Linked DNA regions of Drosophila melanogaster. Changing the gene in region 2 together with the main gene of any one other region gives a genetic interaction. Each region holds a gene or a part of one and is shown on either strand. Other genes may lie near its edges. The genes, in order: Xbp1 and Rtca.

Region 1 (4,634 bases), on a different chromosome or scaffold from region 2:
TCTTGGCTTTCTTCTTTCCCTTGGCCGGTTTGTCCTCGTCGAAATCTTCAATGGTCGCCGTATCCATGGATTGGGAGGCGATGGGCAGTGATACGGGTGATTCCGGAACCGCATCCGGTGTCTTGCTCGTTGGTTCCGTCATTTCTGTTTAACCGTACACTCTATTGCATTTAAAAATTGTTTATCTTTCTGCAAAATCACAGGTATGTGGTTCGTAAGCAAAAACTGGTTCAAGTCTATAAACAACTTTTTCGAACTAGTTCCGAAACAAATTCGCTTTTGCTGGCGCATTAGGGTGGCTCTATTTATATTCTTTAAAAAATATATTTTTCGAGCTTAGCAAAATCTTGTTTAAATCCTAGTTCAGTTTGGAGAAAAACAGAGCTGTATTTCGTCTTATTAATGAATAATATACTAATAAATAAGGTGCATATATTTCAGAGCATAGTTGTGGTTTTATTTCACCTATCCGCATTATCTGCAGTCAGTTCAACTCACTTTTTGTAATATATATATATTTGGTTAATAAAAACAAAATGACTCATATGCTTACACCTAAAACTGTCCCATCATCTACGCAGAAATTGCGTCATAAAAAAGTGGCGTGATGCTAGAGAAGTGGCGTGATTAACTATTTATCATACGCAGTTCAAAGTTCTGTTTCGCCTAGAGTAAACAAAAACAAAGAGCTTGTTGTTTGGTTTGGTTTATATTTTGAATATTTTTTAGTCAAATGTTTTTTTTTCAAATTCTTTGAGCACAATACATACATATAAGAGTAATCATAAGCCTATGTGGTTAGAGATTGTTAAATATAAATGGAAACCTACAGCTAAACTTAGCGCTCTAACTACAGTATCATATATAAAGCCTTCGATTATGAATTTATGTACAGCCTATCAACTAAAAAACTTAAACAAACGGCGGCCGGCCAAACTTAACAATAAAAGAGAGACAGAACGAAGTTTTCAGCTTGAAAAACTCAGATCAAACTGGGAAACAGCTCGTCAAAGTTGCTCTCCCAGGGGAAATCGTCCTCATCTGCGGGCAGAGTGAGAGCCACGGATGTGGGAGAGCCCAGTATGGACTCGTATCCATGGTCCGAGGTGGCCGAGTGTAGAGACAATGCGGGGGATTTGGCCAACGGGGAGATCGCCTTAACGCGCGGACGTAGGAATCGGTCGATCGGATCGAAGCTTTCCTCGTCGTCCGAATTGTCGACGGCGTTCATCACGTTGAGATAGACCTGTGACGGAGACGTCGCTGGCGGCGGACACTTCATGATCACGTCCGTTGAGTCGTCGCCAGCGCTGACGCCGTCACAGTAGATCTCCTCGACGGCCTCGTTCACCGGCACCGCATCCCCGTCCATCACGATGGTGATCGAGTTCGTCTTGGCATCATACGTGCCGTACACTGTGTCCGGAGTGGCCTGTAGTTGCGAGGCGGCCGCTGTCGCTGTGATTGTGGCTGTTCTCGAGGCTGGCGCTGCTGTGGTATGCTGTGGGTTTCCATTTATCTTCAACATCTGCACATTTAGGCTGACCTTGTGCTCGGTTTCCTGTTCCTGCTCAACATTCAGGCCATTAGCTCTATGCCCGTCGGATTCCAAGCGCTCTGCTGCGGGCCCCACCATTGGTCCAGGCAATCGCTCTGCGTTGCCTGCATCTTGGGCAGCAGCTGGGCTGCTCGCTCCAGCGCCTGTTTCCAGGTCTGCTGTGATATCTGCGAGCAGACTTTCGGCCAGCTCTTCGAGGCGCTTGACGTCGAACTCTTCGTCGACGCCAAGCATGTCTTGTAGAGTAGGCAGAGGGCCACAACTTTCCAGAGTGAGGCCAGGCTCTTGCTGCTCTTCAGCTGCTCCGCCAGCAGACGCGCTGACGACTGTGTGTCCACCTGTTGTATACCCTGCGGCAGAGGGTCAGCTTTGGATGCTGCAGATCCAAGGTTGGTGGACGCACAGCCCTCAGCGCCTGCGCTGGCGTTGGATTGGCTGATGCATCTGGTGTTGTGCTGCTGTTGCTGCTTCAGTTCGGCGAGTTCTTGGCGCAGCAGCTCCAGCTCCGAGTCCAGCTTGTGGTTCTTGGCCAGCAGTGACTCGTTGATGGCCTGCAGGCTATCGCACTTGTTCTGTAGTATTTCCGTTCTGTCTGTCAGCTCCTTGATCTCGTAGTCCATCTCCTCCATGCGTGCCTTCTTGCGGTCACGCGATGTCTGGGCGGCCACACGGTTCTTTAGCTTCCTGTTGTTCGATAATAACAGTTAAATAAGGCGCTCAAATTTGGTTAAAAGTTGGGTGGACTTACTTTCTTTGCACTTTCTCCTCCCAGGTTAGATGGTCCAGGCGACGCTTCTTGGCCTTGGGCTGGGATGCAGCCATGTTATCGTCATCCATGTTCGACGAGGATGCGTATCCCGAACTCGAGGGCGTGGGCGAGGCGGAGGGCGTGGCCGACACCTTCAGCAGAGCTGCCGTAAGGGGGGCGGGCCGCAATTTGGGCAGATTATTCGATGTGATTGCTGTCCGCGGCACGGTAATTAGCACTGTGTTTGCTGTGGGTGCCATGTTTAACTGGTTCGGGGCTAAATGATAAACTGCTGTGTGCTGTGTGCAATTGTGAAAAGCGACTTTCCACTTAGATTTGCATTGTAAGAGCGTATTTTAACTTTTGCTTGTTTTAGGTCGTCTCATGAACTTCGACTGCGCTTCTCGGACGCTCTGCTGGTTTGAATCTCTTCATCGCCGCCGACTCGGGCTTTTCTGGCTCCGTCTCACGCAATTTTCTCATCCACCTTTGCAATATCGACCGACCAGTTTTCCTTTCTGCTGACGTGTTCTTTTCCGAATGGCTGTGAAAAGCTGACGTGTTTTTCTAGAAGAGTTGGGGTAATGAGGGATGGAGCAGCACGTATCGGGCTATCGATTACAAATTCAGTTAATTTAGAGCAACGATGATTTGTAAAAGCGCTTAAATGTATTGTAAATTTTTTTTTATTGGATTTAATAAATATATTGTAACATTTCAGGCAATATCTTAAAACAAAAAATAGTTCCTTAAATTTTTCACACAATTCATTTTAATATCCAAACATAGAACAACGACTATGCCATCTCGAATTGCGCATGGCAGTGTGACCGTCTATATCTCAATGTGGAACAGTAAAAACGAGAAAGGAAATTATTTGTTATAAAATGTATAAATTTATTTTCCGCGTTATTTGCAATTGCTTGATTAAAGGGGCATCTAAAACAGTGGTTGTTGTGGTTTCTTGCCCTTTTCTTTTTCGGCTTGTGCTAGTTCCTCCTTGATAACCTCGGCAATTTCATAGATATCAGGCTTGTGCTGGAAATTTTAGATGAATCCAATCAAAAGTAGTTGGGAAATGCGATCTTACCCTGAGTTGATTTATGTAGAAGGTGTAGGGAATGTGTCCAGTAATGGGATCAATTGCCACAGGCCACATAGCATCCAATTCTTCAGCGGAGAAAGGTTCTCCTTCCTCCGCCATTAATTTGCCGAAGTACTCCTTGGTCAGATATTTTTTATTTTCTGGATCCAGGGTCTCAAAGGCCTCGAGAAGCTTTTCCGACGAGGCTGGTTCCATTCTGTGGACAAATATCGTTAGTTGCTAAACAAACCTAAAGTATATTGAATAACTGTCGATCCATCAGCAGTTTGGAAACGTGTTCCATGAACTTCACCAAATGGGCTTCGCCTGGATAGTCGACGGAATCGGTGGCTTTAATGACATCTTCGACCTCTTTTTCGGTGGGCGCGCAACCTAAAAATCGGAGCACGTTGCCGACATTGCGGGAATCAATATACTTATCGCCATGAGTATCAAATATGCAAAATGCTTCCGAAATCTTTTCCTCGAGTTCGTTGTTTAGGGTAACTACAAAAGGTTAGTGATATCAAGCGGAGGTGCGATGCTCATTTTATGTAATGCCTACCACCAACTTCCATCGCGGGTATATACTTTAGAATTTAATAAATAAACTGATAATTTTAAAATACGATTTATTTTTTCCTGATTTATATGTTTTCTGATTGAAGCATTATTAAAGGTTTGCTGTTTATATTTCGAATTTGAAAATAACGATCGGAAATCGATAATGGCGCCAAGCAAAGGGTATCGCCCCTGTGGTCATACTAGGTGTGGTGAATATCGACCGATAAGCATCAGTCGATAACTGCCTGCGAAGCAGTCGTGTTGAGCGTCGCGTTATTTTGTTTTCTGTTTTGTTTTTCGTTTCGTGTTTTTAATTTGTTTCCCATTAATTTGCAATTAAAGTTGAGACAATCGTTTAGCTAAAGATTTCATGTTACCCAAACAGTGAAGTTCGAGACTTTCCAGTGCCTTTTAAAGGACGAAATAGACTGCATTTGCTTGTTGTCGCTGAGCATTTGCATCTGTGTGCGTCGTTTGGCAGCAACAGGTTTTCCAACTCAACTCAACGCGCCACCTCAGTTTTCATTTGTTTTCGATATTCCGTGGAGTGCGGTTCGCGTTGCGGGAAAATCGAATTGCAATTGAATGCAGCGTTAAATGGAAAACGAGCAACTCGTTTCACATATCGTCGCAGGTGTGTAACGTCGTTCGGCGATTCCAACGGGTTTTCCAGGAGGTTT
Region 2 (5,278 bases):
AAACCGGTTGGCCTTGTCCAACTCAAGTGAGTCAAAAGCCAGGCCAAATAATAATAATAATAACAATTGCACGAGAACAAGTTTCACCGAAATATATAACTCACAAAATCGGGTATCACAGAAAAGGACGGACAGGCCGCAGCTAAGAGAACGTTCCGTCTGATATTAAGAGCTTGCCGGCAGTTGGCGAACGAATGAACTGGAGACCGCCGTTGGAGCAGCCAATTTAAGCGAACTGGGGCCTCATTGGAGAGCCCAAGAGAACGAATGCAAGACATGGCAATAGACAATAGGCAGGCACACAACACAGACGAAATTCCGATGGCGGTGACTAACCGCAGTGGTACAGTGGCCATTGCCTAACAGAGACACGCAAAGATACCCTGTAAGACTCAGAACAGGAAACTTCAGAGCGTCGCAACCATACATAGGAGCTCCTGTAACTCCATTCAAGGTGGTAAAGATGGCCATGCTATTGGATATCCACAGGGAAACTGTCGCTTTAGGGGAATTAGTACCCGGGATTAAGTATTCCCGCATCGATAGCTACTGTGGCAATGACGCAGCAGCAGTTCAAGCAAGTTGCGCCCTCCCGCCGTCCCTATCTCTTTGCCAATCTCTTGGACTTGTGCCGCTGAGACAATCATCTAGGCACCTACGCCCGGCCCGAAAACACCCATCTAATGCGGGTCATTCCCACTCTCCTAATCACAACTCCAAGCCATTTGGCCTCGTTTAGTTGGTAAAAGGAACACGGCACTGGTGGCAATCGGATCATCTACGACATTACCACGCACTTTTCGAATTGAAGTCGGAAAACGAAGGGATTGGTTTAAGTACATTTGGAACTTTTTTTTTGGGCAAGATGATCTTATTTTATTGGGAAGAAACCATTTGCGAGATTAGAAGTGGCGCAGTCAAATTGGAAATGCGACCTTGCCTTGTTGTTTGGCAATTGACCTTTCGAAAACTATTCATCTGTAAATCGTGCATTTACCTGTCGACTTCTCCTTTTTGGGAGTGCTGCCCGTGGTCTTGTACTCCTTGCAGTTGACGGAACCCATTGTGTTTAACAGGCGGTTGTTGATGTGGCTCGCAAAAGACGGGGCGTTGAGTATCCTCCAGGATTGGCTGGACGGGAGCTTGCGTATCCTCAGAAGGCCTTCAAAGGCTCGTTTCGTTTTGACCAAGCTCAGAGCTGTGCGAGGGGACTGCCACCTGAAAGTTGAGTGGCCAGTTTAGGAGCTTTACTTTTCACTTAATAACAATCAATCACTGTGCCAAAGCTCGTTATCAGTTAGTTAGTTCCCGCGTGTTAATCATTTCTATTTAATTATTCCTCCACAGCCTGAGTCATCAGCCGCAGATGGATGTGCTGAACTCCCCCAAACGTGTCCGAGATGCTGTTTTTTGCAGCACACACAACACACGTCGTTGTTTATTTGCGAATTGCTTTTAGTCGCCAATCATCACTCACCACTCTCCACAACAACACTAAACAAAACAAAAACAAAACAACTGGAATATCGCGTGGAAGGGAGGATGAGAGCCTGGGAGCGTGCAACAGGTCGGGGGTCCGCGTCTGTGCCGAGATAAGCGAAGTGGAGTCGAGTGGACCAGGAACGCTGCGAGAGAGCCGGGAGAGCAAGAGCCAATGCAATGCGAGGCACGTCTGGCGCGCGTGAACTGCGGACCGCGTATGGCGCGCAACTTCGTCGCTGGATTCGACTGGAACTGGAAGCTTCGTGCCTCCCCAACACACACGCACTTCTGGGCTCTGTGTGTGTCCGTGGACACAGGAACGGTCAAGATACTAGGAGCCAGCCCTACTGTGTAATCGCAACGCTCCCTGTTCAATGCATCTCTCATGTGTATAATGCGATTATAGATGAAACAAGCGCCAAGACTACCTAGACGAAACAAGAAAATTTCTTGGCAGGATAAACTACCTATGAGGTACCCAATGCAGAGCGCTGGAAACTATAACGCTGACCGCAGTTGTCAGCCTTTCCGACCATTCTCGTGTGTTCCACTAACAAAAACTTCGCGACCTTGCCGTCGCCGCACTTCACTTCGAAGCAATCTCCTCCACCAGCCTGTGGCCAGCACCAAGAAGTCGTAGAGGGTAACACATAGCTGGCCTTCTTCGCGATTCGGACCAATGCACTTGGCGACCAACATATGTACCTGTTGGCTGAGCTGAGCTAAGCCCATCGTGCCACAGTCAGTGCCGGCAGAATTGCATCACCGCCAGCGGAACTAGAACAAGAACACGAAATACCAGCGTTTTATTGCGGTTGCCATGACTCTTCGAGTGGAATAACCAGAACGATAAGTAAACCAAATTTTCCGTCACTGCCTTCGTAAGTAATTGGGAAATGGCTGTTCCTTAGACCTGTTGATACGGATAGTACCGAACAAATTGTTGATATCTCGCTATCTCGAGGTAAACATTGTATCTTTGGACACATTGTATTCTTGTCTTTGGTTAAGGAGTTCGAAAATAATGCTCTTAAGAGCGTACACATTCAATATCATTCTATACGCATGGAAGCCATGTCAGGTGTATTATGTCCTAAGCCCATTCCGTCAATGTCTGCTTGAGCGAATGTTGACACAGTCCAGTTATGCGGATAGGCTTATTTTTATCAGACCCAGGGAATGGGACTCTCAAAATACAGTTGAGCCTTAAAAACTCGAAGAGCATTTTCCAACGGAAAGTGGTTTCAATTAAATGTATTAGTTATTAGTTACTTTTTTCTTATTTGCAGCCCTCCTACTTTGGACACGGACAGGCAAAAAGGCCAGTCAAGCATTCCAGTGGAGAAGGAGGACCAAGCTAGCGATTGCCCAATTGCCAAGTGATTCGCCTTCGATGCCTCGGGCCAGTTAAACCACTGCTAAGCTGGACTAGAACAAGATACATAATTGCCTTCGCGATGGCACGTTGCAGATAAGTTAATCGCCTGAAGGCGGCACGTACGACCATGCGCCGGCGGACACTGCACACTTACACAGCCATCTCTAGTTAACTTTTAACTATTGCGCTGGTAATGTATTATTTTGTAAAAGTTCGCTTGTTTACGTCTGGCCAGTGCTGCCGGACCAGTTCGAATGGTGCGCGCCTTGAGTGGTTCCACAGTGGCAGGTGTTTGTTTCCAAGCAAACGCGAGCGTCGGGCACACTGCCCGGATCACAGTGTGCCGTCCCAATCGAGTGAAATGGAGCTGTTATTCTTAGCCCCTGTCATTGTGATATTTGATTGCTCCGATTGTTCTGACACACACTTGGCTGACAACCTGAGAGGAAACCAGACTGAAAATCCCTGAACATAAATAAATTGGGAAAATGGACGCGGAAAAAATGTTGGAGATCGACGGCTCCTACTTGGAGGGCGGCGGGCAGGCCCTGCGCAACGCCCTCAGCCTCAGCTGCATTTTGGGTAAACCGGTGCGCGTGGTAAAGATCCGGGCCAGCCGCCCGAGTCCTGGGCTCTCGCACCAGCACCTGCATGGGCTGAACCTCCTGCGGGACATAACCAATGCGGACGTGGTGGGAAACTACTTGCTCTCCTCCACAGTGGAGTTCACGCCGCGCACCATTTTGGACAACACGTATCGCGTGGAAACGCACACGGCGGCCAGCATTACTCTGATTTATCAGATGGCGCTCCCAGTACTTCTCTTTGCCGGACGCCCGTCCCGCCTGATCGTATCCGGGGGCACGAACGTCGACTTTGCGCCTCCGGTGGAATACATGCAGGAGGTGCTGCTGCCCAACCTAAAACACTTCGGGGTTAGTTTCGACCTGAAGGTGCAGCGGTACGGCTTCTATCCACGCGGCCAAGGCAGATGCCAGTTGGACGTGCAACCCGTGACCAAGCTGAATTCCGGAAAATTAGTGGCTTTCGGCCGCATCAAATCGGTCAGCGGAGTGGCCTACTGCGCCGGCCGCTTGCCGGTAAATATTGCTATTGACATGCAACAGACGGCTCAACGCGAGATACATCGTTTGTGGCCGTCCCAGCAGTGCAGCATCGAGCCGATTAAGCATTCACGCCAGAAGGCATTCCACAACGGAGCCGGCATCCTGATGACTGTCAACACGACCTCCGACGTTGTCCTAGGTGCTTCTGCATTGGGCAAAAAGAGGATCGACGGACACGTTCTCGGCTCAGAGGCGTCGTGCCAACTGGGCGACTACATGCGCAAACAGGTCTGCGTTGATGATTACATGCAGGACCAGCTCATCATCTACATGGCCCTGGCCGTGGGCCGCTCAACGATGCGCACAGGCAAGCTGACCAATCACACGCGCACCGCCATCAATGTAGCCGAGCAAATGACAGGGGTCAAGTTCGATGTGGCGATGGAGCCCGGCGGCCAGATGCTAGTCAGCTGCAAGGGCTTGGGACATGTGAACAAGTTGATTTAACAATCGATAGATCTCTTTACTCTAAGGAAACCTTAAATTAATGTCTACATATATAGAGAATATACGTGTCCTAAAGGCGCCGGAAAATGGCCAGAAAATGATCGCCCTTGTTTCGAACCACCTTAGCGCCCTCCTCGCTGCTTTGGTACAGCTTCGGGGTGATGGGATCAGCATTCTGTGGGTTTAAACGTAATGATTAATGTGTGACTTGGCTGCGTGATCTCGGTTTTGAACTACGTACGGCCTCCTCTTCGGTAAGACGCTCGTACAGCGGATGCTCCTCCATATGTGTCACTATCCACTTGTGCAAGTCCTCAACGTCCGTCATGGTGTACAACAGACCCTGGGTAAGCAGACTAAGCAGTAAGCAGACCGCATTTCGAGTACTTTCAGGAAACTGTTGGACTTACCCCCTTCCTGAGGATATAGGCATATTCGGAGAGTAGAGCCTGGTTGATAATACGCCACTTGTGCTTGGCGCGCTTGAAATGTGGGTCCGGGTAGAGGAAGAACATCTTCTCCAGCTGGCCCTTTACGAAGTAGTTGGGCAGATACTTCATGGCGTTGGTGCGTAAGCAGGCAATGTTCTGGTATGCACCCGTATCCGCGCATCGTCGACGCAGTGCCGCAATCCGGTCCACCACGTAGTCCGACACCTTGACGCGGATTTCCATGCCGATGGACAGCTTCTCGGGGAACATCTCCCCCAGGGTGACGAGAAAGCCGCCATAGCCGCAGCCTATGTCCGCAAAACTTACCTGCTGGCCCTGCTGAATGCCTGGGTACATGGAGCGCCAGTCCACATCTTCCGGGCGAGCAGGACTATGTGAAGGAGCCTTTAGTG

Evidence for each region.
Region 1: of Rtca (region 2) and Xbp1, changing one suppresses a phenotype caused by changing the other (phenotypic suppression), as found in Drosophila melanogaster (one study listed by BioGRID).

What each region holds. Positions count from the first base shown.
Region 1 is NT_033778.4:21,141,809-21,146,442, reverse strand, and holds Xbp1 (X box binding protein-1), read right to left. Parts: upstream 2,895-4,634; 5' UTR 2,567-2,894; coding exon 2,307-2,566; intron 2,243-2,306; coding exon 1,579-2,242; coding exon of another isoform or gene 983-1,578; 3' UTR 693-982; downstream 1-692. Other genes in the region: Hmg-2 (high mobility group protein 2), read right to left, coding at 1-142; CG9406 (uncharacterized protein), read right to left, coding at 3,246-3,344, 3,397-3,607, 3,660-3,897, 3,956-3,968.
Region 2 is NC_004354.4:2,070,363-2,075,640, forward strand, and holds Rtca (RNA 3'-terminal phosphate cyclase), read left to right. Parts: upstream 1-2,050; 5' UTR 2,051-2,363; intron 2,364-2,754; exon of another isoform or gene 2,755-2,771; 5' UTR 2,772-3,348; coding exon 3,349-4,434; 3' UTR 4,435-4,504; downstream 4,505-5,278. Other genes in the region: CG4199 (uncharacterized protein), read right to left, coding at 998-1,064; CG4045 (uncharacterized protein), read right to left, coding at 4,505-4,609, 4,676-4,777, 4,845-5,256. UniProt on the Drosophila melanogaster protein: Catalyzes the conversion of 3'-phosphate to a 2',3'-cyclic phosphodiester at the end of RNA.